7 linked regions of the Macaca mulatta genome follow. The protein of the gene in region 2 purifies or fractionates together with the protein of the main gene of each other region. This does not show direct contact. Links are inferred from orthologs where the notes say so. Each region holds a gene or a part of one and is shown on either strand. Other genes may lie near its edges.

Region 1 (3,500 bases), on a different chromosome or scaffold from region 2:
CTAGAATTGGTTACTCTAAGGCTGAGAATTCCAGTACTTTTAATGCTGTATACTTGATTTTCTTACCCAATTCCTTTGCTTTCAGGTTTCAAGTTCTTCACATTTCAAATTCTGGAGGAAAAATTATCAATATTTTACTTACATAGTTTATCCTCTGCATATTATTGAAACATTTTCTTAATAATGTCTTGAGATTTTATTGTGTTAGTTTTGACCAGTACTTCAATTAATATTTATCAATTTAAATTATCATTTCCTCTTTTGATGTAGTATCATCTGCTATGTTAAATAATATAAATTAAATTTCTTTGTAGTATTTACTAATGAACTTATGCCATATGATGCCATATGGCATCAACTGCCTCTAAATACCACTCATTTTCTAAGTTTTTAATGATGTACCATTAATAAGTAGGATCTTTCAGCCAGGTAGACTCTTCAATATCATTTTCCTCATATTCCTCTTTTGTTAATGTGTGTTCCACATTCCATGGGGTCAGAGGCATTTTTGCTTTTTTAATTTATGTCACCAAAGAAAATTGTTATTTGATTGAAAGTATTTATTTAAATCTTGTTAAAGCAAAAAACATATAGCAAATATAACCCCAATTTAAAATCAATCTGTCTATATCTATTTCTGATTCGTTTATACTATGTTCTTTATATAATTCAACGTGAATTTGTTGCCTTTTAGATACAATATTAGAAACAATTTGAGAAACTTAAAATCTACTTGGGGAAATAAAACAGCAAAAGTACACAAGTAATGACAACATAATGCTTAATATGAATGTCACTGGGGTTTCACGTGCCATGAGTATTTGAAAAAAGACATTAAGAAAATTAGAAAAGGTTTTGTGAAGGAGAGCTGAAATGGGCCTTTGAAATACAGATGACATTTTCATTGATGAGAGTAGGAGTATCATAAAAGTAATTCATACAGCTGACATAATCAACTCAGAAGGAAATCCATAAAATAGTATTACTTTAAAGAAATTTCAGGGAGGTAAAATTTCTGAAAAGTTTTGTCCCTAGTCATCATACTTTGTATGTGCATGTCTGTCTGTCTCTCCTCTGTCATTTGTTTGTTTTTTGTTTTGTGTTTTTGGAGGGGATGGGGTAATAAAGGACCATAAGGAGATACAACACTGTGGGAAGAAACAAAAATCTTGGGGAAAAGGAAATACTGATAAAATCATTGCCAAACACTTAAGAATAATATCTTCTAGTGATGGAAGAATAATATCTTATTCTTCCATCACTAGAAGATATTATTCTTCCATCACTAGAAGATATTCACAAAGCATGTGAATGTGCTTTCCATACATTATTTAATCCTTCAAATGACTCTGTGGTGATTTTTTTATAGACATTTGAAGATGTGGTAACTAAGGCTGAGAGAAATTAAATAATTTGCCCAAGATCACACAGTAAGTGCCTAAGTTAGGATTTAAATTCAGTCCTTTTAGATTACCAAACACTTTTATGATTCAGATTTCTAGCAAATCTGGTACAAATATGAATGTTACTGAATGTGAGAGGGTAGGGGGAAAAAAATTAGAAGTCTTTCATTTTGTTTTATTTGTGTATATTTTAAAAGTTTATAACTTAAAGTTATTCTAATAGATGTGGCGTTTTGGTTAGTTCCATAAAATGAGATGCGGTAAGTTTATCTCAGAAAGCAATCATCTGAAGCAGCAGCTTTTCTCATGAAAAGCCTTTACCACTCAATTTTAAGTTAATGTTCTATACATAACTTCTAGTTGTAGTTAAGAGGTTATTCCTAGTGTTATACTTTGTAACAAGCCTGTTATTATGTAGTTGGCCTTGGCAGAATTGTATGAAGATGAAGTGAAGTGCAAATCTTCCAAGTCTAACAGACCTAAAGCTGCAGTCTTCAAGAGCCCACGGACACCACCTCAACGGTAAGTTTTATTTTGTTTTGTTGTAAAAAGAAATTACAATTCTTTCTAAAATTTTACTAACTTCAAATTGTTTTAAATGGCCTTTTTCAAGGTTTCTTCAGTAATTTTTAAAAATTATTCCAAGGGCAAGGCAGATTTGGATAAAAAAGAAAAGATTAATATCATTTAGGTACTATTTTAAGAACTTTTACAATCAGAAAGCTAAAAGAAACTTATGGAAAAATTACCTTAAAATACCTAATATTTTGGTACGTATCATATGAAATTATATCCTGAATACTATTTTTGTTGGGCACAGTGGTTCTTTAATATTTTTTGAGTTGTAGGACTCACTAAGGGTCTGATGAAAGCTGTAGAATTCTCCTCTCAAAACAACTTTCATGTGCAAGTTTGTCATTCATTTTTAAGAGTTTGTGTGTTTCTTAAAGCCACTTGAAGCCACTCCATGGAGCCTCTGCAGGTCTTTTGTCCTCCATTTAAGAATCTATGATTTTTGAAGTCTGTCTTTTCCTCCTTTGGGTGATGATTCCTCCAGTGTGTGACATCCTAAATAGTATTTGTTGTTATTAAAATCCCTGAAGTATAAAAACAGCCAACTATGAAGATTTAAGAGATGAGAATCAGGTGTATTTTATTGCTGTGAGTTTTCTTGTTGCCAGGAATATTTTCATTTACATCTTTTTAGTACTGTAAGTATCATCCCTGGGGAAGAAATGTCAGTTTTCCCATTATATCTTATTCTCAGAAAGTCCATTTTATAAGTTTTCAATTCATCAAAAATCAAGACTAGTAAATACTGTGTTTACTTCACCTGTATTCATCAAGTTGTTAAAATGTTACATTGAACTTGTGTACACATGTATTCTCTCTCTTTTTTACTCAACTATTTGAAAGGAAATTGTAGCCATCATGACACTTTACCTCTAGATACTTCAGCATGCGGCTCCTAAGAAGCAGCACACACTTAAAAAATTGATAACACAGTACACCTTACAAAATTAATAATAATCGAGATGGGGAGTGTTGACTTATGCCTGTAATCCCAGCACTTTGGGAGGCCAAGGTGAGCAGATCACTTGAGGTCAGGAGTTCAAGACCAGCCTGGCCAACATGGCAAAACCCCATCTCTCCTAAAAATACAGAAATTAGCTGGGCATGGTGATGTGGGCCTATAATTCCAGCTACTCGGGAGGCTGAGGCAAAGGAATCACCTGAACTTGGGAGGCAGAAGTTGCAGAGAGCCGAGATGGTGCCACTGCACTCCTGCCTCAATGATGGAGGAGGACTCTGTCTCAAAAAAAAAAAAAAAAAATGAATAGTAATTCTATGATGCCATTTAATGTATAGTCTGTAGTCACATATCTCTTACAGCTTTTTCTTTGGATTTAGGATTCAACCAAGGACATTGCATTGCATTTAATTATTCCTGTTTTGAATTTCTGAATACAGAGAATTCCCCCCACCTTTTTATTGTTGTTTTTAGCTCAGCTGCATAATCTAAAATTTATTATGTTGACTTTTTTAGAGAGTCTAGGCCAGATGTCTTATAAAATTTCTAACATTCTAGATCACTGT
Region 2 (4,300 bases):
ATGTCACCAGCTGGGCTCATTGCCTTGCCCTGACAAATGGCACTTATGTGACTTCTGGTGGACAGAGCTGTAGCAGGGGAAAGTGAGTTGGTGCCTGAGGAAAGTGGATCGAGAGGCTGAGTTCTTAAACTCAAGGGCCCTGCACCAGTAGCGAGGGGGCCCAACTGAGAGGACATGGAGCCCTCACCCTGAGGATGTTGCTTTGGAAGAGGATGCCTGGGTGGTGCAATTACCTCGTGGCATACTGAGATGGGGATTCGTGCATCCTGCATTCATTGGGAAACAAAATGAATTTCTCGGAGAGACAGGGCTTTGCAAAATGTAAAGCGCTGCAGGAAGCAACATACATGGAAAGGTCAGGAAAGAGAGCCGATCTGTTTGCTGAGTGTGGGCTGTACTTCTAAACGCGGCCAAAGTCGATGCGCAGCCCCTGGAGGTGGCACAGTTTGGGGACCCCTTGGATAGGCGTGCACTCGGGGAGGCTGGGAAGCCAGAGAGGAATGGGCCAAAGTTTCTTCGGGTATCTGCAGAACCCAGGACCGCCCGCACAGCTTGCCTCTTCTCTTCCCGCCCCTGGCCTGCACGCGTGAAATCTGCAAATTCCCCTTTCAACTGCTGCACGCGCTCGTTCAACTTCGCCCTGGCTAGAATCGGGATAACCGTCCCGATGATTATATAACTTTCCGAGTTCAGGAAAGAGAAATCCAAGGGAGAGAAATGATGAAATTTTCTTTATGGACGGATTTTTTACCTCCAAAGTAAAGTTACAGAAGTGCACAAAAAATATATATACAAATACCCATACACCCACCACTCACAAAGAGTAACTTACATTTTGACTTATCTCGAAGAGGGTTTTTTCTTTTTAGTTACCAAATAAACCTTTCTCTTCTCCCAAGTTCCAGTATATCTTAATCCAAAATAAGTCAACCTTCTTTTATTTATTATTCTCCTTTTCCATCCTCACCCCAGATTTATCTTAAAGGGTAAATTCCAGGACCCCCGAAATCCCTCGGTGAGTTCCCACATGGCCAGGTCTGCAAACATCTAGCCTCAACGTACAAGATCCGGCGATGGCCGCAACCGGCAGTATGCACAGCTGCATTTCCTCCCCCAGCCCCAACTCCCGCATGCAACTTTGCAACTCACTCTCGGGCCCGCTGTCGGGGGCGGGCCTATTTATTCGGCCCGTTTGGCGGAAGGATCCCGCGCGTGGACGCAGTTGCGCTCAACCTCTCCGCCCCGCCCCGCGCCCTGGCCCCGCCCCCTCCCGCGCCCGGGCCCCGCCCCCTCCCGCGCGCCCTATGGCCCATAAAGAAGTCCCGGCCGGGCCGCTGCACTCCCCGCGTGCATCCGTGCGCCGCCCGAGGCTGTCTAAGGAGTCGGCGGCCATTTTGTTCTTCTCGTGGTTCCAGTGGGGAGAGAAGGAGGAAGCAGGGAGCGGGGCGGCAGGGGGGGGACCCGCCGCGGCTGCTGCCACCGCCGCCACCACCGCCTCTGCTCGTGGCGTGGGAAAGGAGGTGTGAGTCCCGGGCGCGAGCCGGCGGCGGCGCCGCTGCGGGAGGGTCGGCGGTGGGAAGGCGATGGCGGATTTAGACAAACTCAACATCGACAGCATCATCCAACGGCTGCTGGAAGGTAAGGGGGGCGGCGGGCGGCTGAAGGGGGAGGCGGGCCCGAGGGCGGCAGGCGGCCCCGGGGGCTCGAGGGAGGGGAGTTGGGAGGCCGGTTGGGCTTGCAGCACCGTGGGAAGTGAGCTTCTCGAGTTGGCCCACGGGCCGGGGGCTGCAGCTGGAGGGAGGCCAGCCTGGGATCCCCAACTTGTCGCCAGCCGCGGACCCTCCAGGCTCCACTCATTCATTGCACGAGGATGCAGGCTTTCTCCCGGCCGTGGAATTTGAAAACTCCGCTCCCCACCCCCATGTTTCCCGCCTCTACCCGTTTGCCCCCGCACACCAGACGGGTCTTTGGAGCGATTGTTGGGCTGGGGGCCCCAGTCCAGCCTCCTGGACGGCGTGCGCCGTACTGTGCGAGATGGACTTTTCGGTGCTCGTCCTCACGGAAGGCAGTTTGATGAGGGCGTGAGTTCCACCGGGTTTGGGGGCTCTTTTCCTGCTTGCTTTTATTTTTCGTGGTTCTGGGGTCTTGGGGGGCCCATTTCTTGTTACTTGGTAACAAGCGTTCATGTCTCAAGAGGTGTGAGAACCTGTCTTCGCCTGCCCTCCAAATCCTTTTAAGTTATTCTAATCTTGGAGAGGTCTCCGCGCTCTTTTCCTGAACGTGCATCTGAACAGGAAGTCAGCAAGGCTGACGGTATCGTTATCTTTCCAATGTGCCAGGCTCTGTCTTGAGCACTTTGCGTCCATGAAATTATTACTGTAATAATCATAACTGGCGCTTCTAAAGGGCTTACTGTGTGTCAAGCATTCTTTGAGCACTTAACACAGATTTCATATTCTCCCACCCATTGCAAGATATTTGCTTTTTTTTTGTTGTTTTTGTTATTTTACAGAAGAAACTGAGATGAAGTCACTTAACCAAGGTCACACAGTTAGTGAATTGGGTTTCAAACCCAGATAGCCAGGAGCTAGTAAAACTCGCTACAGACAACACTGAAGGAAGGGGGCCAGTGGTTTAGTAAAGGTTAATAGAAAGGTTTAAATTTCGGCTCATCTAAGACTGGTGAGGTGCCTGGCAATTGATTCATGTTGATGTGGGAGAGGGGCGAGGTTCAGCTTTTAAAGACGGAAGCTGAAATGAGCTGCTTTCAGATTCAAGGGCATGTCAACAGATGCTAACATCTTATCCAAGACTTTGTAAGAATTCAGTCATACCCCTTAACTTGGACACTTCATAATGGGAACTTGGCAGTTTTAACTGCTTTTTGCCTTTATGTAGTCCTAAAATATTACTGGACTATAAATGCTGTGAGTGGTGGAGTCGAGGGCATGACAGCTCTAGTGTTAGAATTTGCAGATCTTTTAAAGTAAGTTATTAAAATGAAACTCTGAAAATATCTCGTCCTTTTCTTAATCTGTGCATTCTTTCCTTTTATGCTGTCTTTAAAAAAAACACTAAATGTCATTAAGGACCCCTGAAATGCTCTTGAAATGTTATTGCAGGTGAAAACCTTGTGTTGTAGGTGAAAACCTTGTCATTCCTTTAATGTCAGGTATTTATATAAGAACCATATTTTTTCATGCTAGTTAATATAGTTATTTGAGGCAGCAGTTGGTCAGAAACTGATTAAAATAGTTTGCTGTAAGAAAAGAATTTTTTGTTAAATATTTTCTTTCTAAATTTTAAAATTCTGCTTATCTCTGCAGGGATATGTGTGGCTTTATTTCTCTGAGGAAACAGGAAAAGTTGGAATTTGCATGGATTAGAAACATTAGAATTTTAAATCTAATTAAATTAGAATTTTAAGATCATCTAAGGCTTGCTAATTTAAGTTCTGGTTTGCCCATAACTGCCTCTGGATTCATAAATAGCTTTTGTTAATTTTAATCATTACAATCCTAATAAGTAGTTTGCCTAGTAAATAATGATACATCTAAAATGAGATCATTGTTTCTTAATAGTTCCTCTTGTTATATGGCACTTGAAAACCAGGTTTTCTTATATTTCTTTTTTTGCTGAAATTAAGAAAGCAGTGCATTTTAATGCCTTGGGAATAGGCTAACTGCAAAGTATACTTAAATTTCCTTTTTTCTCGTGGGTGTTAAATTGGCAGAGAAACATTTGAAGATGATCCATTGAGGATATGTAGATATCTAAGTTAAATGATGTTGGTAATAAATTCTGTGCTTTACAAGTTTTTTATTTTAAAAAAATTAAATGTAATAATTTAAAATAGAAATGAGAGTCTCACTGTGTTGCCCAGGCTGTTCTCAAACTCCTGGTATCAAGCAGTCCTCCCACCTCGGCCTTCCTGGGTTCTGGGGTTATAGTCATGAGCCACCATGCCCGGCCTGAATTTTGTGCTTTTCGTAATGCCCCCAAAACCTTTTTTTTTTTTCCCCTTAAATGCTTTAAGATGTAAGTATATCTGAAAGTAGAGGCAATATGACTTTTGTGACCTTGGTAGACTTTTTCACGTGTTCAGAATTGATCTTTTAAGCTTGAGAGCAGTATAAGCTAGTTGAGAAGTAGCTCAGTAATAGTACTAAAAAGCTAACTGAAAAGTGAAGTCTTAAGAAAAACAGCATGTTGGTTTAGATCTTAGTCACTAACTTTGCAGTTCTTTTCTTTTCTGAACTCCTGAATGTTTCTGTAAGTAATGGCATCACCTCTGCAACCC
Region 3 (3,500 bases), on a different chromosome or scaffold from region 2:
CTGAACCAGTTTCTAGATTACCTGTATCCATGAGCTCTGGAACTTCAACAGGGGGAACCGGGGTGCCTGGACGGTCTATGTCCATTGCCTCAGACGGCGGTGCTGGTTCTGGGGAAGAAGGTTTGGCTGTGCTTGGTTCTGTGCTCGTTTTCCCTTCAAAGGGGCTCGGCTATTGTGAAAGAAAAGGAAGTGAACTGACTGGAAAGCCAAGGGCAAGGCAATTAGTCCAGGGTCCCAGGCACAATCCCCCAACAGTTCCTATATAAAGGAAGACTCTGTCTCCACACCGGTCTCACCTGCACAGTCTATATCCAAGGCAAAACGCCTCTTGTCCTCCCGGACAACTCCTAGCTGCTGTGCCCTTTCTTCTACTTTACCTTTTATACTCTCACTGAAACCTACTTTTGGGAGCCCATACCTTGGCAGCTGTAGGTGACAGCACTTTTTTCTTCTTCTTAATTTTGATGCCTGGAACAGGGGCTGAATTGAGAGCATCCAGGAAGCCCAGGCCCTCCATAGCTACAAAAAGAAAGAGCATCAAATGGCATCATCAGACCTCCTTCACAATCCTACACCTGCAAACACAGTCTAGGCATAAAATGAGCCAATGAAGAGCCTGCCTCAACTTAGGACACGACAAGCTCAAGAGGACCAGGAAGCACATGCAGGAGGATTCACACACGATATTCTTCTTGTTATTCTAGGTTTCCTGTGGCAGGCAAGCCATAGCTTTGAATGTGAATTATAGCTCAGGTAACTGATGAAGTGAGCCCCTGTGAACACGACAAATCACCTTGCCAGGCGCCCCTGACCAGTCACAAAATGGCACACCTCCCTATCTTATCTCTAAAATTACTCCTAAGTGACACCGGAAACGGGAGTTCCAGAGGTACAAAAAGTAAAGGGTACCAAGAAATCAAAGGAAAATGGAGGGAAATAATAAAAGAGAAGGGAAAAAAACTTCTCGTTCCCAGAGACATTCGTTCCCATAAGAGTTTGCTCCTGGCCAGGCACGGTGGCTCACGCCTGTAATCTCAGCACTTTGGGAGGCCGAGGCGGGTGGATCATGAGGTCAGGAGATTGAGACCATCCTGGCTAACATGGTGAAACCCCATCGCTACTAAAAATACAAAAAATTAGCCGGGCATGGTGGCGGGCGCCTGTAGTCCCAGCTACTCGGGAGACTGAGGCAGGAGAATGGCATGGACCCGGGAGGCGGAGCTTGCAGTGAGCCAAGATCGTGCCACTGCACTCCAGCCTGGGCAACAGAACGAGACTGTCTCAAAAAAAAAAAAAAAAAAAAAGACTTTGCTCCTAATTCAAAGTACATCTCCCCACTTTAGACTCACGCTGTGGCGGAATGATCTTCACTTTGATCTCTTTGGTGGCATTAGGTGTTGTGTTGAGTGGCTTGTATTTCTTTTCTGCAGGGGGGGTAGCATCTCCTGGAGCAGCTACGTTGCTGTCAGAAGAGGAACTGTCATCAACATCTCTGACTCACCCCCTCTTGCTCCCTTGTGTCCACAGATCCACCCCATTCAGAACCTGAGAATATGGTCCATACCTCTGACGTTTGAGGGGGATAGGTTTAAGATTGTACTTGTCAGAAACCACCACTGTGCTGGCGTTCTTCTTCACAGGCACCAAGGATGGTGTCTCCAGCTCTAGTCCTGGGGAAAGCAGCATGGTGTGGGCAGCTGAACTCAAACCCCTAAACCCCTGAATTTTCCTCCCGTTCTCACCCGCAAATGTTCTTCTAACCTTGTAACCAAAGCTTCCTCTGCTAATCTTCTCTCTTCCTTACGATTAACATATCACACATCAAATGATTCCCCCATAAGGCTCTGGGTGTGCACATGCACACGAACCCTCCAGAGGCCAGCCGCCAGTCTTACCAGTGGAACGGAACTTGGCATGACTGGGTGCTGTGGTTCGAAGAGACTTGGGCTTCTCCCTCTTCTTCTCTGGGGCCTCCTCGGCCCGGGTCTCAGCCTTCACCTCTGTCAAAGGTCGCTCAGGAGGGGTAGTTCGACTTTTCCCCTCATCTTTACGTTTCTTCTTATCTTTCTCTGTCGTGAAAAAACAAAGCAGAAATGGATTTTATTTAAACACTGTCAGAGGTGAAGCAGACTGGGAGTACCGAAAGGCCACATCCCAGTAGGAAAGAAATAAATACAAAGGATAAAGGACTAAGGAGCTTACCAGCGGGCTGAGTACTGCTCTGAGAGCGGATGACAGCCATCCAGTCGCTGACAAGGACTGAGGCCAATTTCCGGAGCTCTGCAGGTGAGAGAAAGGGGAAATGCCTAATAATGTAAAATATTCTTCCAGGAACAGAAAATGGGAGGTTTGAGAAAATATTGTGAAAATCTATGTAATGGAGAAAGTAATCCAAAGTTTTAAGAAGAACATGAGATATGCTTAAAAACCAAACTCCTAAAAAATGGAACAATGAATTAAGAGTTGTGTTCTACTCAAATAACTTTCAACTCTGATGTCATCACACCACTCTGGAGTAAAAAGACCTAATATTTATTTCAGAATATGTGGTTAAAATCTGCATTAGTAAAAGACTACACATTGGGTGCCATGTACACTGCTCGGGTGATGAGTGTACCAAAATCTCAGAAATCACCATTAAAGAACTTATACATGTAACCAAAATCCACCAGTTCCTCAAAAACTACTGACATTTTTTTAAAAAGCTACATTAGTTGCTTTACGTATAACACACCTAATTGTTACAACAATCTGAAGACTTTTTATTTTCCTTTATAGATGTAAAAACAAGCATAAAATTTGTTTCTAAATGAAAAAATACTTTTGTAACTCTTTCCTTTTGTACTTGGCAAATAACATCTCTGATCTATGGCACCTCTCTTCTGGCCAACATTTCCACTTAGAGACGTATTTCATAATTTGTCATTTAACAGTAAGATTTTCACAGAACACTAAAACATAACTTTTTGAAACAGTCATACAATTAGCAATTTCTATACCTAAGCCAACATGAACCTCAATGCAGGAATATCCTAAAATCTTTCTGGAGTAACTGATAACTATGGTTCCGGTGAGACTTAACTACAACCGACAGGGAATATACAAATTTCAATATCTAAAGGCATGATGGTAATTAAATATATATTTAAAGAGAGCAACACAATTAAGCCAGTTGGAAATAGATCACTGCTCACTTGGTGGGAAACTGGTATCTTGTGTGCCCGGGTAGAGATAAAGGAAACTCTAAATTTCTAAAGGAGACAGGCTTTGTCTTCAAGACAGAACTATATGGTCCTTGCCAGAAGCTCCACAACTCTTTTAGAAAAGGAAAGAATCAGAGCTTTGATATATTTCTTTTTTTTTCTTTGAGATGGAGTCTCGCTCGGTTACCCAGGCTGGAGTGCAGTGGCGCAATCTCGGCTCACTGCAAGATCCGCCTCCGGGTTCACGCCATTCTCCTGCCTCAGCCTCCCAAGTAGCTGGGACTACAAGCGCCCACC
Region 4 (3,500 bases), on a different chromosome or scaffold from region 2:
ATCAGCATAAACATTTTTCTCTTTTCTTACAAAGCATCCATAGAGGAAGGTTATGAAAATCTCTGCCAGATGATTTTAGAACAATATTTTTTTTAAAAAAAGGTTCAATGTCTACTTTCCAGAACATAATAAAGATAACTCTGAAAAAATTGGAATTATATATATTTTTTGCAATGTAGGTAGACATATTAAATAACATATCTTTTTTGTATTTGCAATATTTTTATAATTTAATCATTTGGGTTATCAATATAAGAATATGCACATATTTTCAAACACAAATTATTCATCTTTAGGCTATAATATACAACCATATAATGCTGAGTCTCCTTATTTCATTATAATAAATGGAAAACAGTTACTGAGTAATAAACTGAAGTCCACAAAAATACAAGGATCCAAATTTGCCTTTATCTGACATTTATGGTTTTTTTCCAGCATGTAAGAGACTAATAATTCATATTTAAAGACATACATGTGCCTTACTCAAGATGCTAATTGATGACGGGTTGTAAAAAGGAGCAGATAACTCAATGATTTAAAAACAGATTTAAAAAACATTATTACTGTGGTAAAATACACAACTACAAATAGGTTTTTAATGAAAAGGAGATAGAACAATTATTTACGTATTGCCTCTCAAACCCAAGCTCACCCTCTAAACTGGGCTCTTGGATGCCAGGTTGGAAGTCTGGAAAGTGCAATTCCCAGACTCTCGTTACTGGCTTTGGTCAGCTTTTTCCAATAGCAGGCACTGGTGGGAGACCATAAGGTGGGAAGAAATGAGAAGGAATTCTTTGTTTCTGGATCCTGCCAGGATCTTTGCAGCAGCAACACCGCTAGATACAGCTGCTAGACTCATGATTTTCAGTACTCCTAACATCAAATCTGGAGCTCTACTTTAGTCATCTGAGCACCAACTCTATGAGGCCTCTTGATGGTGCTGTGACCATGGCTTCTGACTCCAACATCTGCGATCCAAACACCTCCTGGTGCTCCTACACTGAGCTCTAGCCTCTCCCCTTTTGTAGCCCCAAACTCCAGTTGTGGTGGTTGCTTCCTGCAGTTACTAATTGCTGAGGCACTTGAGCACAGCCTTTTTGCTCTTCCAGTCTTCCAGCCTGCATGTGTAACCAATTCCCTGTATTAAATCCCTCTTGATATTTAATCTGGTTTCTCTTTCCTGACTACATTAGAGAATTTCTGGCTACATTAGAGAATTTCTATTTTGATAATTTATCTTTAGTCTTAGACACAGCATTTTCTTCTATTACCTTCAACATTTGGTTGTTTAAGTGCTGAGACTGGCAAAGTTGTTGGTGAAGGTATACTGGACGTCTGGTTCTCCTGAGGAGGCTGGACAATAGTACATTCGTCGGAATGATTAGATTTAAGATTAGAACCAGTTGGACTCATCATCCTTTCAAATGCCTGAGCTATAAAGGGGAAAACAATAGTGTTAAAATCTCAGATGTTTTTGTAATTTACCTCAAAGTAAATTTCAATAAATATTCTATTTTTCAAGTTGTAACGAGAAAGAAAGAAATGGCTAATCAAGAAAAAGAAGTAGCACTTGGCAAAGATACTGTCTGAGTTGGCAGCATGCCACTTTGATAAGCTACCAATAAGTTATTTCAATATTATATCTAAGGTGTATATTTGATATCCACAGAGAATAACCCTTATTTAACATGACTATCTCTGTTTTCGTCCTTGTACCCCTAGAGTCTATTTCCAACATAGTTTAGAGAGATTCTTTTAGACATAAATCATATCTCATTATTCCTCTGTTTAAAATCTTTTAATGGCTAACTAAAGTGAAAATTTAAGTTGTTACAATGGCTCACAAGACCCAACATAATTCATCCCTACCTCCTCCACTTTCCCAGTTACATGTTTGACCTCATCTCTCACTACAATGCCACTCATTCGCTATGGTCCAGCCACCTAGACCTCCTTGTTCTTCAAGTAAGTACTCCTACAGCTTAGAATCTTTGCTCCTATTATTCCCTTGGCCTAGAATGTTCTTCTCATACTCACACAGCTTTATTATCTCACCTCCTTCAAGACTCTGCTCACATGTCATATTACCATAAAGCCTTACTCTGACCACATTATAAAAAATACTACCTAAGGCCAGGCACAGTGGCTCACGCTTATAATTCCAATACTTTGGGAGGCTAAAGCGGGTAGATCACTTAAGCTCAGGATTGCTTTGAGACCAGCCTGGGCAACATGGTGAAACCCCATTTTTATCATAAATACAAAAAATCAGCTGGGCGTGGTAGTGTGTGCCTGTGGTCCCAACTACTAGGGAGGCTGAGGTGGGAGGACTGCTTGAACCTGGGAGATGGAGGCTGCAAAGAGCTAGGTTCGCACAATTATACTCCAACCTGAGTGACAGAGTGAGACTCCATCTCAAAAAAAAAAAATTCCTTTTGCCACTAATCTGTTAACTATCTATCACTCTTACACTTTTAAAATTTTTTAATTGAAGGTAGTATCACCATCTGATATCTTTTTGTTTACTATCCATCTCTACATACATTCATAAATTTCATGAGAATATGGCTTCTATTTTGCTCTCAGCTTGAGCTTCAGAATGCAGAATAGTGCCTGAACACTGCTGAGTGATTCTTCATCCAAAAAACAAGGTACATTGATAGCTCTCCCTTCAGCATTTCTCCAAACTGATCTGCTATAAATGTTGCCACTGCTAAAACAATCTTCCTCAAGTGCCACTGAATGATGGCACTCATAAAATGGCTTCCATTAACCAAGTGAAGTCCAAACATCTTACTCTCAATTTCAAAGTAATTTCTAACTTGCCTCAAATCTACTTATTGACATTCACATGTGCGCTTCCTTGAAACTCACATAATCTCAGGACAGCTTTCTCATTATCTACTATCTCTATTCAAATTATCTTTTTCTTCCAATCTTTCACGTAGTGTGTCTCACAACCCATGAACCATCTTTCTCTTCTCATTTGATATCATTATTTTAAATGATCACTTCTATTATTTTCAACCCTAAAGCTGATATTAACTTTTATTTATGCTTTCCTGTGGCATATAAATTAATAATAAATAGCACCGTAAATGAAACTATATGCTATATCAAAATAGAATAAATTTAAATAGATAACTAAATAAACTAATTCCACAGTATTTTCTTTGATAAACCAAAGCTTGATTTCAGTATTCTACTGAATTTCTTTAATGATCATATCTTCTCCCCTCCTGGACCCTTAGAGTCAAAATATGTCTGAATGCTCACCCAAAAATCTGACCTGTCAACATAAATAACGTTTCAAATCCTCATGGATGTTTAATTTCTTTTTAATGGGGGAGATAATTATGTGGGAGCTTGCTCTAAAATTTCTGAATTCTAGCAGATTGCCTTGGCTAACAGCACCAGCAGTCATCTTCTAGGCTACTGAAACAGCATAAGAAAAAACAAAACAACTATAAGCACTTAAACTGACCTCTTCATAAACA
Region 5 (3,500 bases), on a different chromosome or scaffold from region 2:
CCTAGAGTGTGATCAGACAGTTGTGACCGATGACAGCAAGCCACGCATGAGGCCCTCCGTGAATTCCAGGTCATCATGTCACTATGGTCAGAGTGATGTCAACACTGACAGCTGAATTAACTAACACTTTTGGCATAGCCACATGGGAGGGAGGGGAGAGGTAAAGAATTAACCCTATCTATCTCAGTAGCACACCAGCAGAAGACACCTAAATAGCAGCTTCACATCAGTTTCTGGTTGGTTCATTTCACACATGAATAGACTTCACATCACTCTAAGGCAGCTAAGAGATGAGTATGGCTGCACTGGAAGAATGGAACCTGAGGGGTGGGACTGCTGTTTCCATTAAGCTTTTCAGTTTACATGTGTCTATTACATTGCTATGCACAAATGCATTAAAGGACAAAAAAAGAAGAAAGAAAAAAGATAAGCATGCAGATGGCTTGTCCCACACCAGGAGATGGGAACTAAAGGAATGATGATGTCAGAACCCTCCCTCCAGTCACTGACTTCTTGATGAGTTTGGAGAGGCGCTTCCTGTTGAAGGGGGGCGTGTTCTTCCTGCTGGTCATTTCCAGGAGTCGATCAGCAACAGCCTTATAGTCAAACTAGGCAGGAAGAGAAACTAAACATAAGTCTGCAGCCAAACAACCCTGCCTGACTTGGACATTTACATCTGCTAGTAAGAGAAGCCCCTACTGAAGCATTTGGCAACAGACAGGCTAAACAAGCATATGCTGGGACTTGGCCACCAGGAGCACAAGCACTACCTTTGAAAAATGCGTGTTCTGTTTATTCTTGGGAGAAGCTGGGTAAGTAATTCTTTTTTTTTTTTTTTAATTGTGATAGAGTACCCACAACAAAATTTACCTGGGTGTGCTTTTTTTTTTTTTTTTTTTTTTGAGGCGCAGTCTCTGTCACCCAGCCTGGAGTGCAGTGGCATGATCTCGGTTCACTGCAACCTCAGCCTCCCGGGTTCAAGTGATTCTCCTGCCTCAGCCTCCCGAGTAGCTGGGATTACAGGTGCGCGTGGCTGCGTTTTTGTATTTGTTTTTGAATTTGTAGTAGAGACGGGGTTTCACTGTGTTGGCCAGGCTGGTCTCAAACTCCTAACCTAAGGTGATCTGCCCACCCTGGCCTCCCAAAGTGCTGGGATTACAGGTGTGAGCCAGTGCACCCGGCCGGAGGGTGTGCTTCTTTTTAAACTGAAGCTAGATTTGCAATCTGTACTTGGCAAACTTTTTTTTATTTGACAAGTGCCACTAGAGCTGGCTCCGTGGTAGAGAACAGAGCAAAGCTTAGCCATTCAAAATAAGTGCTACTATCTCTTTCAAAACCCCATTGTATTTACATTTCCTTGTCTCCAATAAGGTTATTCTCAGGAAGGTGACATTTAGTGACTGAAGGGATTAAAAAGGAGTTTACATTTCAGGCCTTACAGCTTAACTAGCTGTGACCCTAATTCTGTAGTCAGGCTACTCCATAGCAAATCCATATTCTATAAAAAGCAACAACTGCCACCCACCTGGAGAAGGGGTCCTGTGTCCTCAAAGGTTCCGCAGTCATCTCTTCCTCTTTCATCACTGAGTCCATCTTTTCTGGAATGATTTTTGCCCAGTGCTGTCAAAATATACCCAGAGACCAAATTCTTGACATATCAAATACACAGAAGTGACTACTTCCACAGAAGCCACTGTCTAATTAGGTGTCTCTTAACAAAAAAGAAGGTTGGGCACGGTGGCTCACGCCTGTAATTCCAGCACCTTGGGAGTTGAGGTGGGTGGATCACTTGAGGCCAGGAATTCTAGATCAGCCTGGGCAACACGGCGAAAACCCATCTCCACTAAAAATACAAAAACTAGCTGGGCGTGGTCGCGGGTGCCTGTAATCCCAGCTACTCAGGAGGCTGAGGCTTGAGAATCGCTTGAACCCAGGAGGCAGGGGTTGCAGTGAGCCGAGATCGCGCCACTGCACTCCAGCCTGGGTGACAGCGAGACTCCGTCTCAAAAAAATAAAAAACGAAAGAAAATTTCTTTCAGGAGAAAAACTCTGCAAAGACATTTATAATTTCCCAGGACATTTTGATTGTTCAGGCTATGGGAATGGAAATAAGTCTGGGAAAAAGCACATGTTTTGCCTTTTGCACCCATAAAACCCCAATTCCCTGCTGCCTTCGATGATTCCCTCCCCCACACACTGTCCGGTTAGGACGAAGGCTGTGGTGAATGGGAAGCTCCTGTCCAGGGACGCAGGCAAGCGGATGGGACACTGTATCGCCCTGGACCACCAGGGGTAGAAGCATGGATGCAGGAGTCTGGCCCTAGTCTCAGGTCAGTTTAGGGCCTTGGTGAGAACCTGTCACAGCAGTACGGTCACTTCATGAGCACGCTTCAGGAAACACAAGTCAATATTAACGCAACTTTTAGCACTTAAAACATTCAGAGTGTTACAGCTTATGAAGAAGCAGATTAAACAGACTCAGGAGAACTCAAAATTATCTTAAACATGTACTGTTTCTGGAACCCTCTAAGCTTATTAGTGGTGTGGCATCAGGGCGAGGCCTGGGGAGGATGGGGCAGGTGCAGCACGCATTTGATGAACGTAACTGGGAGGGAACGTCTGGAACTGCACTCGGAAGAGAGTCTGTGTCCAGGTTAGGCTGACAGAAATGTGGGGAGCAGAGGGACCCAGAGACTACTCCCATGTGGTCCCATGACCACGTAACACTTGCTCCAGGTCCTTAGTCAACTCTGTTATCTACACCAAACTTAAAATCAGACTATTTCTTTTTTTATTATTTTGTTTTAGAGATGGGGGTCTCGTTATGTGGCCCAAGCTGGTCTCAAATTCCTGGGCTCAAGTGATCTTCCCATCTTGGCCTTCCAAAGTACTAGGATTATAGGCATGAGCCCCCACACCCAGACTAGACTATTTCTTTTATTCTTTCTTTTTTGAGACAGGGGCGCTGGTAGCTCTGTTGCCCAGGATGCAGTGCAGTGACATGATCATGATTCACGGCAGCCTCAACCTCCCAGGTTCAACTGATCCTCCCAGCTCAGCCTTCTGAGTAGCTGAGACCACAGGTATGTGCCACCATGCTTGGCTAATTGTAAAATTTTTATAGAGTCAGAGTCTTGTTATGTTGCCCAAGCTGGTCTCCAACTCCTAGGTTCAAGCGATCCTCCCACCTCAGGCTCCTAAAGTGCTGGGATTATGGGTGTGAGCCACCATGCCTGGCCAGAGTATTTTTTCTTTCTTTTAAAGATTCTTGGCTGGGCACAGTGGCTCACGCTTGTAATCCCAACACTTTGGGAAGCCCAGGCGGGTGGAATACCTGAGGTCAGGAGTTCGAGACCAGCCTGACCAACAGGGAGATAAAAATTTTGCCGGGCATGGTATGGTGGTGCATGTCTGTAATCCCAGCTACTCGGGAGGCTGAGGCAGGAGAATCGCTTGAACCCGGGAGGCGGAGGTTGCAGTGAGCCGAGATTGCACCATTG
Region 6 (4,262 bases), on a different chromosome or scaffold from region 2:
TGTTTGTACTACTCTAGTCACCCGGGATATAAACCAAAGCTCCCCCTTTGTAAAACTTACATTCTAATTGGAGGAGACAATATGAGAAAGCAAGAAATTACACAGTAAATATTAGGGGGTGATAAGTGTTAGGGAAAAAAAGTAGACGGAGGGGAATCAAGCATGCCAGGGGCTGTGATTTTAAAGTTAGGTTACAGAGGGCCTCATCGAGGAAGCGACATTTAAGCGAGATGAGTGAGGAGAAAGGAAGCCATGTGGGTACTGGGGAAAAGGGCAGTGCAGGCAGAGAGAACAGCTACGGCAATTGCCCTGGGGTGGGATCATTCTTGGGGTGCTGAAAGAAGCATGTGAAGGTCAGTGTGGCAGGAACACAGTGAATGAATAGTAAAATTAGCAGGAAGTGAAATCACAGGTAACTAGTTTTCTTGTTACCAACTCTAACAGGCTGAGACCTCATGGATCTGGTCATAATTGTATTTATGTATAACAGTATAGTCCTTCTAGATTTTAAGCCTTCAAGGAACTCTTCTGTCTTGTTCACTGCTGCATTCCCACTGCTAAGCACAGTGCCTGGCATACAGAAGATTCCCAATAAATGTCTGCATGAATGAACGATACAAAGATCATTTTTTGAATGCTTATTATGTGCTATACATGGGCTTTGCAACCACATTTCTTCAGCCCCAGCTCTGAGGAGGAGGGGAGATGAGTCCTTAAGTATCATTCTAGGCAGCCATGGGGAAAGTGAGAAGAGTGTTGGAAATGGTGGTATTTTTACACACTATCCTCATGGAATGGACTTACTCTGTGAGGAGAGAGCTCTTACGATCAATGAACTTGAGAGCTTCTGCCAGTGTCAACTCCAGGAAAAAACCATATCCCAGGGCCACATAGATGCGTGAAGTATCTGGGCTGAGGAAAGAGAGGTTAGAGGAAGTGCGGGGGAAGTCCTTATCACTGTTTAGCAGAGTGTATGTTTTGCTCCCCACCCTTCCCCAAATTGAGGCTCTGGGAAGGCAGGGATTTTGTCCTATTTTATTCACTGTCACATCCCCAGCGCCTAGCTTATATCCTACTGGGATAATAAACCTCGTATAGTGCCTGGTACATAGAAGATACTCAAAAAAATATATGTTGCATGAGGGAAGGGGTAAGCTGAACCCTGTGGGCTCAGAGGGGCGGGTAGACACTCACACCACTGTGTCAACGAAGAAGTTACAGCCCAAATCCACCTGCATATATAACTCCGAGTGCTTAGCTTCCTGTGGGGCCAGGGAAAAAGAGGTAGGGGTCAGTGGTGAACTCTTAGGTCAGGTGACAGGTTTGGCTCTGGAGTCTCTCTTCCCATTTCCCTCCCTTACCCACACACACCAAAAAAATGATACCCAACCCCATAGTCTTTACCTGGAGTCGCTCAATGACATTTCTCAGTTGAAGGTATTTGGCCAGCTGCTCATATACCTTGTCTCGATGGTCCAGCACCTTTCTGATGGGATGAAAGTACAATGGTGACCAATAGGCAGCCCCATTCCTCCTAGTATACCTCATATCATGACCCTCTGAGACTCTCACGTCACCATACGCTGAAAAGGCTTTTTAGTGTACAAGTTAATTTTGGGCTCTGGGTCAGACTGCCTGGGTTTGGATCTGGGCTCTGTCCTTTATAGATGTGTGGCTTTGGCAAGTAAGGAACCTGTTTGGGACTTGGTTTCCCCATTTATAAAATGCAGATGACAGTATTACCTTGTAGAGTCATTAGGATTAAATGAGCATTTACTCAAAGCATCTAGAATAATGCCTACCAAATGGTAAACTCTCTACATGTTAGCTATTATTACTATTACTACACTCCCAATACTGAACTCCAATCATAATGTCCCATCCTCACCCTAGAAAAATCCTCCATCCCTTTTAGGATGCTCATAGTCCTAGTTCTGAACACCTTACTTCTTGCTTAGATTAACAAAAATTGCAATAATATTTCTTCATACTTATTGAACCTCTACTATGTTTCAGGCATCCATGCTACTAAATTATTTACAAAGATGGGACATATGAAAAACTCAAAACCACTGCATGGGGAAGGTTCCAGAAAACTCCCCATTTCACAGAGAAGTTTATAGGGCACAGAAAGGCGAGGTATGACGTATTCACAAGGATGAAGAATGGCCGAGCCAGGATTCGAACCTGAGAACTGTGGCTCCAGAAAACAAGCCCTAATCCGTCAAACATCGGAGGCCGCGCATGCGCTGACACGCCCCCTGCTATGAACGCCACGTCCCAGCCAAACTGCACCCCGGATATCATCACCACTTCACGCTCCAAGGAGCGCGGGGCCGGACTCTGAACGCCTCGCCCACCAATCCAAAGGGTTGGCCCTAACTCTGAACGCCCCACCCACCACGTGGAATGTTCCAGACGCCCCGCCCTCTGCACTGTCACTCACCGCAAGTCCCGCTGCAGCACGTCACTGATGAAGGTCTCGTAGCGCAGTACTTTCTCCCCCGTGGCCTCCACCGCCCGCCGCTTAGGGGGCGTCGCCATGATGGGCTCCTGGGGAGTGGGGAGGGGGAAGACCACGTTGACCGCTCCAGTTTGGCCTCACACACAGTTCATCTCTACCCTCTCAACGCTGGGAATCGACTTGTCCGGCTCAAGCTGGGGGCTCAGCCTTCCGCCCCTCCCAACTCGGGGACCCGGCCACCCAGGGACACCCAAGCGCGGCCTTTACCTCAGGGCCGCCAGCAATAAAAACGGTTGGTAGGAACCGCGGCTTCCGGGTGGCGCGGGTGAATGACGTAAGTGGCAAGCGCGCTGGCCAACCAAATAGCCAGCTGGGGAAGACGGGCCAAAGGGGAGAAGAGAAGGGCGGGGCTTCACGGAATCCGAGGAGATCAAAGATGACTAGGGCGTGGGAGCAGGCCATCTGGCAATAAACCGGCCAATGGGGGACTGCAAAAGCGGCGCGTGGAGCCTATGGAGACCGTGCGTCGCTGGTGAGGGTGGGATTTAATGGGATTTGGCGGTTCTAAGTTAGGCGCGACGCACAGGTAGAGGTAGAGAGAGGAAGTGAAGAGTTTAATATTTAAAAGGACCTAAGAATTGACTATGGTTCTGGTCTATAAGGAAGATCCCGTGTGATCTGTCGGCTTGGATATTGATTTGTCATACGGGAGGTTTGGGTTTCACTCCTGGCAATGGGACTGAGTATGAGCACTTAAAAGGTTTTAAACAGAGACAGATTTTCTAAAATTCATCTTTGATAACTCCAGCTCTGTACCTGCAACCTATAACTGAGGCTCAAGCGGAAATTGACAACGCACTATATCTAATCACCTCGTTTGATAGTCAAATGGAGAGGGTGGCTGAAGTCCTCTGCAGAATATTGGCCATCTTGTAGTTAGGCATAGTTCCCATGTTTTTATTTAAATGGTAAGGTTTTTGTGAATTTATTCTTATGCACTAGAGTGACTGAGTGAATTTGTTTTTCAGTTTAGATTTTTTTTAAAAAAATTATACTTTAAGTTCCAGGGTACATGCACACAACGTGCAGGTTTGTTACATATGTATACATGTGCCATGTTGGTGTGCTGCACCCATTAACTCATTAGGTATATCTCCTAATGATATCCCTCCCCCCTCCCCCCTCCCCACAATAGGCCCCGATGTGTGATGTTACCCTTCCTGTGTCCAAGTGATCTCATTGTTCGGTTCCCACCTATGAGTGAGAACATGCAGTGTTTGGTTTTCTGTTCTTGTGATAGTTTGCTGAAAATGATGGTTTCCAGCTGCATCCATGTCCCTACAAAGGACACGAACTCATCCTTTTTTATGGCTGCATAGTATTCCATGGTGTATATGTGCCACATTTTCTTAATCCAGTCTATCACTGAAATGCCTTAAATTCAGGTTAGATTTTCAAACAAGAACTTATAACCCAGCAAGAATGGGCCTTTGCCTGGAGAAGAATCCAGACCATGGGATGAATCTCCAAATGCTATTTCCATCTATAGAGCTTAGAGCACCCACCCCTACCAAGGAAGTCTTCCCAGATAATTTGTGTTTCATATGTAAAAGCAAGTTTTTTTTTCAAATGCTGAAAACCCAAGCAAGTTAAGCCTGCCTTTCCTTCCTTCCTTCCTTCCTTCCTTCCTTCCTTCCTTCCTTCTCTTTCTTTTCTTTTCTTTTCTTTTCTTTTCTTTCTTTCTTTCTTTCTTTCTTTCTTTCTTTCTTTCTTTCTTTCTTTCTTTCTCTTTCTTTCT
Region 7 (3,500 bases), on a different chromosome or scaffold from region 2:
GGAGTGGTGGCACATGCCTGTAGTCCCAGCTACTCAGGAGGCCGAGGCAGGAGAATTGCTTGAACCCGGGAGGTGGAGGGTGCAGTGAGCTGAGATCACGCCACTGCACTCCAGCCTGGCAGCAGAGAGAGACTCTGTCTCAAAAAAAAAAAAAAAAAAAAAAAAGAAAGAAAAGTACAGCATGGAACAAGACAGAACAGAACAGAGAAGGATACCCAGTTAAAAAGTTATGAAGAATCCTTGTGGGTTTCTTTACTGCATTAACACCTCAGGGCTGTTAATATAATCCAGAATTAGAATACAATACAGTTTCCCAAGAAAATTTGGCTGCAGAGTTCATAAGTATCATATGAGACCAGTGTATCCAACACTGGGAAAATAGAGCTTTAAATAAATTATTATAAAGTATTGCTCAACATTAAATAACAAGCATTAATTTTTTAATTAAGAAGATCAGTAAATTGTATATTCTATTTTGTTATAACAACTTACAAGGAATCCTTACACACTGTTGGTGGGAATATATTATGGAGGTTCCTCAAAATATTAAAAATGGAACTATCATACAATCCAGCAATCTCATTACTGGATATATATTCAAAAGAAATAAAATCAGTATGTTGAAGAGATGTCTGCACTCCCATGTTCACTGCAGCAGAATTCACAATAGCAAATCAGCCTAAGTGCCCACGAATGGATGAATGAATAAACAAAATGTAGTGTGTGTACACAAATACACATACAATCACAATGGAATACTATTCAGGAAATCCTGTCACTTGCAACAACATGGATGAACCTAGAGGACATTATGTTAAGTGAAATAAGCAGGAACAAGAAGATAAATGTCACACACTTTCACTTATATGAGGAATCTAAAAAAGATAAACTCAAAGAAACTAAGAGTAAAATGGTGGGTTTCGGAGCTGGCAGGGGTGGGCTGGAGCATGGATTGGGATATACTGGTCAAAGGGTACAAAAGTCAAGTTAGGAGGAATAAGTTCAAGAGCTCTACTGTACAACGTGGTGACTACAGTTAATAACACTGTTATAGTCTTGAAATTACCAAGTAGACTTTAAGTGTTCTCACTATAAAATATGACAAGTGTATGAGATAATGCTATTAAAGTCAGAGTTTGAGTCTGACTTCCTAATCTCTCAATATTTTCACAGATTTAGGAGAAATCAGGCAAGTCCAACAGAATTCATTACTTATAAAGCGATACCTATTTTATAAAAAGTTATGTCCTTCTAAATAGTTCGAGATTTTTCTTATATAAAAGATACATTTACACGTGTACCACTGTATAGCTGCTCTTAAATGACCCTATGTAAATCACAGTGCAAAATTATATAACACAAATAGGAACTCCATTAACTTATAAAATCAGAATGCCCACCTGATTATCTGAGAGCCACATAGCTGTCAATTGCTGTAGCTTTGTAAAGCTAAAGGGCAAATTCTTTAATCTGTAGGAAAAAATACAAACAAAAATTAAACTTTAAAATTTGAGAAGATTTAAAATGAATGAGGGCTCAAAGGTTTTCTGAAAAATGCTGTATAGTTGCACATGAAAATAGGAGAAAAAAATCTAGAAAAGTCCCATATAATTATTTGTACAGGATATAAGACAAAATATCTAGTTTTACAAGAATTCGTTTCAAAAATATTAATTCTTTAATTGAATCAATTCACCTGGCAAGAAAATGGACAACAGAATAACCTTTAAAAATAACAGTTAATTGTCCCTGCCTTAGAGAAAAGAACACATTAAGGAATGTCTCATAAAACTGCTTTGGTTTATTTGTACTCAGAACAAACTGTTATAGGAAGCACTCTTAGTGATAGTTTGATATAAAAACTGCACTGCTCTCTATTTGTGAGCCAGCAGTTATGTAATCTAGAAGACTATCCTAAGATGATAATGAGTAAAAACAAAGTGCAGTCATTCATCAGTATCTGTGGAAGACTGGTTCCAGGATCTCCCTCAGACACCAAAATCTGCAGATGCTCAATCCCTTATATAAAATTGTATAGTATTTGCATATAACCTATGTACATCCCCCCCATATATTTTAAATCATTTCTAGAGTACTTATAATACCTATTAGAATACAAATGCTATGTAAACAGTTGGTATACCGTACTGTTTAGGGAATAACAATGGGAATGTTGGTACACGTTCAGTACTGACACAATTTTCTTCCAAATATTTTCGATCTGAAGTTGTTTGAATCCACACTTGCAGAACCCACAAATACAGAGGGTCAACTATAAATACTCATTAGAATACTAAATGAAAATACCCTATTTAAGAGGGAATTATCCAATTCAGCCTTGCTATCTTATGCCTAACTAGTCTTCCATGGCTTTCTTTCAAGGTAATTTGCACAACCTACTGTGAGTTGTAGGAATTAAAGGGTCAAACACTGACTTAAGAAAGCAGTGGTTCTTTTAAATAAAACAGAAGTTAGAATAACATAATTAGTAAAAAAATTGAGTTTAAATTAAAGCTCTACCTTATAAGCTATGTGAGTCACCTTAAATCTGAGTCTTAAAACCCTCCTACATAAAATGGCAATACTATTATACTATTTCATAGAGCTGTTTTGAAGACTTCACAAGACACTATGAAAGCAAAAAGTGAAAACACTCTACAAATGCAGTTGAATCATCATTAGTATGTTTACCTCAGGAAAAAGTATGGACATTCTGTTTTTAACTTAAACATTGTTCCAATTTACAACCTTAGTGATCAATTTGCTCTGCATCTTGGCTTTGCTGAAACCAGATTTCTGTCCAGAAAAATATTAGCAACAGACTAGATACATTCCAAAATTGTTTTGTTAAATAGCAATATTAAGGTGAAGATGTGACTTTAGGAATAAAAGGTAACTGTAAGGAGAGAATAAGGAATATATAGCTAAGTCAACCCACAATGAACAGTAACAACCACCGTATGATAAATTAACATCAGAAAAATTAGACCACTCCTTGTATTTAAAGAAAAAACAAAAATACACACTTAAGACCTCATTTAATGTTACTGATAAGTTCCTGGAAACCACAGCTTTTGCAAAACTGTGTATGGCAGGTCCTCAAATAATGTCATTTTCTTAAAACACTGATGAACGAAAGAAGTGATTTCATTATAAGAAGTGATTTCATTATATGTTGTTTCACTGAAAGTCACACTTTCCAAGAGCCTATCAGTAACATTGAGGACTTACTATGTATATTTAAAGAGAAACAAGCACTAGTTATTCTATTATATATCATATGAAACTTAATTTCATCTAACCAACATCTCCTATAAACCAACTGATGAATATAGTATCACAAACCTATTGTCACTTAAATTAATGACTTTTAATTTTTGCATATCACCCATTTCCTCTGGAAGTGTCTCAAGTTTATTGGAATGGAGAAACAGCACAGTTACATTTTTCCAGCTTCCAATCTGAAAGAGAAATATAAACTGAGGATCAAAAAATTTGGC

Evidence for each region.
Region 1: the proteins of PPP1CC (region 2) and UBXN2B purify together in Homo sapiens (affinity purification with mass spectrometry; 3 studies listed by BioGRID and IntAct, with this or other methods). This does not show direct contact. The link is inferred for Macaca mulatta from reciprocal best matches to the Homo sapiens genes PPP1CC and UBXN2B.
Region 3: the proteins of PPP1CC (region 2) and PPP1R10 purify together in Homo sapiens (affinity purification with mass spectrometry; 8 studies listed by BioGRID and IntAct, counting the BioPlex papers as one, with this or other methods). This does not show direct contact. The link is inferred for Macaca mulatta from reciprocal best matches to the Homo sapiens genes PPP1CC and PPP1R10.
Region 4: the proteins of PPP1CC (region 2) and ZFYVE16 purify together in Homo sapiens (affinity purification with mass spectrometry; 3 studies listed by BioGRID and IntAct, counting the BioPlex papers as one, with this or other methods). This does not show direct contact. The link is inferred for Macaca mulatta from reciprocal best matches to the Homo sapiens genes PPP1CC and ZFYVE16.
Region 5: the proteins of PPP1CC (region 2) and RRP1B purify together in Homo sapiens (affinity purification with mass spectrometry; 7 studies listed by BioGRID and IntAct, counting the BioPlex papers as one, with this or other methods). This does not show direct contact. The link is inferred for Macaca mulatta from reciprocal best matches to the Homo sapiens genes PPP1CC and RRP1B.
Region 6: the proteins of PPP1CC (region 2) and UXT purify together in Homo sapiens (affinity purification with mass spectrometry; 4 studies listed by BioGRID and IntAct, counting the BioPlex papers as one, with this or other methods). This does not show direct contact. The link is inferred for Macaca mulatta from reciprocal best matches to the Homo sapiens genes PPP1CC and UXT.
Region 7: the proteins of PPP1CC (region 2) and ERBIN purify together in Homo sapiens (affinity purification with mass spectrometry; 6 studies listed by BioGRID and IntAct, counting the BioPlex papers as one, with this or other methods). This does not show direct contact. The link is inferred for Macaca mulatta from reciprocal best matches to the Homo sapiens genes PPP1CC and ERBIN.

The regions. Positions count from the first base shown.
Region 1 is NC_133413.1:69,099,272-69,102,771, forward strand, and holds part of UBXN2B (UBX domain-containing protein 2B), read left to right. Parts: intron 1-1,821; coding exon 1,822-1,925; intron 1,926-3,500. UniProt on the Homo sapiens protein: Adapter protein required for Golgi and endoplasmic reticulum biogenesis. Involved in Golgi and endoplasmic reticulum maintenance during interphase and in their reassembly at the end of mitosis.
Region 2 is NC_133416.1:117,922,747-117,927,046, reverse strand, and holds the start of PPP1CC (serine/threonine-protein phosphatase PP1-gamma catalytic subunit), read left to right. Parts: upstream 1-1,500; 5' UTR 1,501-1,583; coding exon 1,584-1,638; intron 1,639-4,300. UniProt on the Homo sapiens protein: Protein phosphatase that associates with over 200 regulatory proteins to form highly specific holoenzymes which dephosphorylate hundreds of biological targets.
Region 3 is NC_133409.1:152,443,089-152,446,588, reverse strand, and holds part of PPP1R10 (serine/threonine-protein phosphatase 1 regulatory subunit 10), read right to left. Parts: intron 2,281-3,500; coding exon 2,203-2,280; intron 2,070-2,202; coding exon 1,896-2,069; intron 1,671-1,895; coding exon 1,565-1,670; intron 1,463-1,564; coding exon 1,350-1,462; intron 520-1,349; coding exon 419-519; intron 170-418; coding exon 22-169; intron 1-21.
Region 4 is NC_133411.1:86,770,180-86,773,679, reverse strand, and holds part of ZFYVE16 (zinc finger FYVE domain-containing protein 16), read right to left. Parts: intron 1,437-3,500; coding exon 1,275-1,436; intron 1-1,274.
Region 5 is NC_133408.1:3,855,260-3,858,759, forward strand, and holds part of RRP1B (ribosomal RNA processing protein 1 homolog B), read right to left. Parts: intron 3,084-3,500; exon of another isoform or gene 2,961-3,083; intron 1,621-2,960; coding exon 1,526-1,620; intron 813-1,525; exon of another isoform or gene 609-812; coding exon 511-608; intron 1-510. UniProt on the Homo sapiens protein: Positively regulates DNA damage-induced apoptosis by acting as a transcriptional coactivator of proapoptotic target genes of the transcriptional activator E2F1.
Region 6 is NC_133426.1:47,680,317-47,684,578, forward strand, and holds the start of UXT (protein UXT), read right to left. Parts: upstream 2,801-4,262; 5' UTR 2,757-2,800; coding exon of another isoform or gene 2,545-2,756; coding exon 2,447-2,544; exon of another isoform or gene 2,435-2,446; intron 2,401-2,434; exon of another isoform or gene 2,017-2,400; intron 1,487-2,016; coding exon 1,405-1,486; intron 1,263-1,404; coding exon 1,195-1,262; intron 913-1,194; coding exon 805-912; intron 600-804; exon of another isoform or gene 433-599; intron 1-432. Other genes in the region: uncharacterized protein LOC144338585, read left to right, coding at 2,543-2,756. UniProt on the Homo sapiens protein: Involved in gene transcription regulation. Acts in concert with the corepressor URI1 to regulate androgen receptor AR-mediated transcription. Together with URI1, associates with chromatin to the NKX3-1 promoter region.
Region 7 is NC_133411.1:74,125,744-74,129,243, reverse strand, and holds part of ERBIN (erbin), read right to left. Parts: intron 3,462-3,500; coding exon 3,346-3,461; intron 1,471-3,345; coding exon 1,401-1,470; intron 1-1,400. UniProt on the Homo sapiens protein: Acts as an adapter for the receptor ERBB2, in epithelia. By binding the unphosphorylated 'Tyr-1248' of receptor ERBB2, it may contribute to stabilize this unphosphorylated state.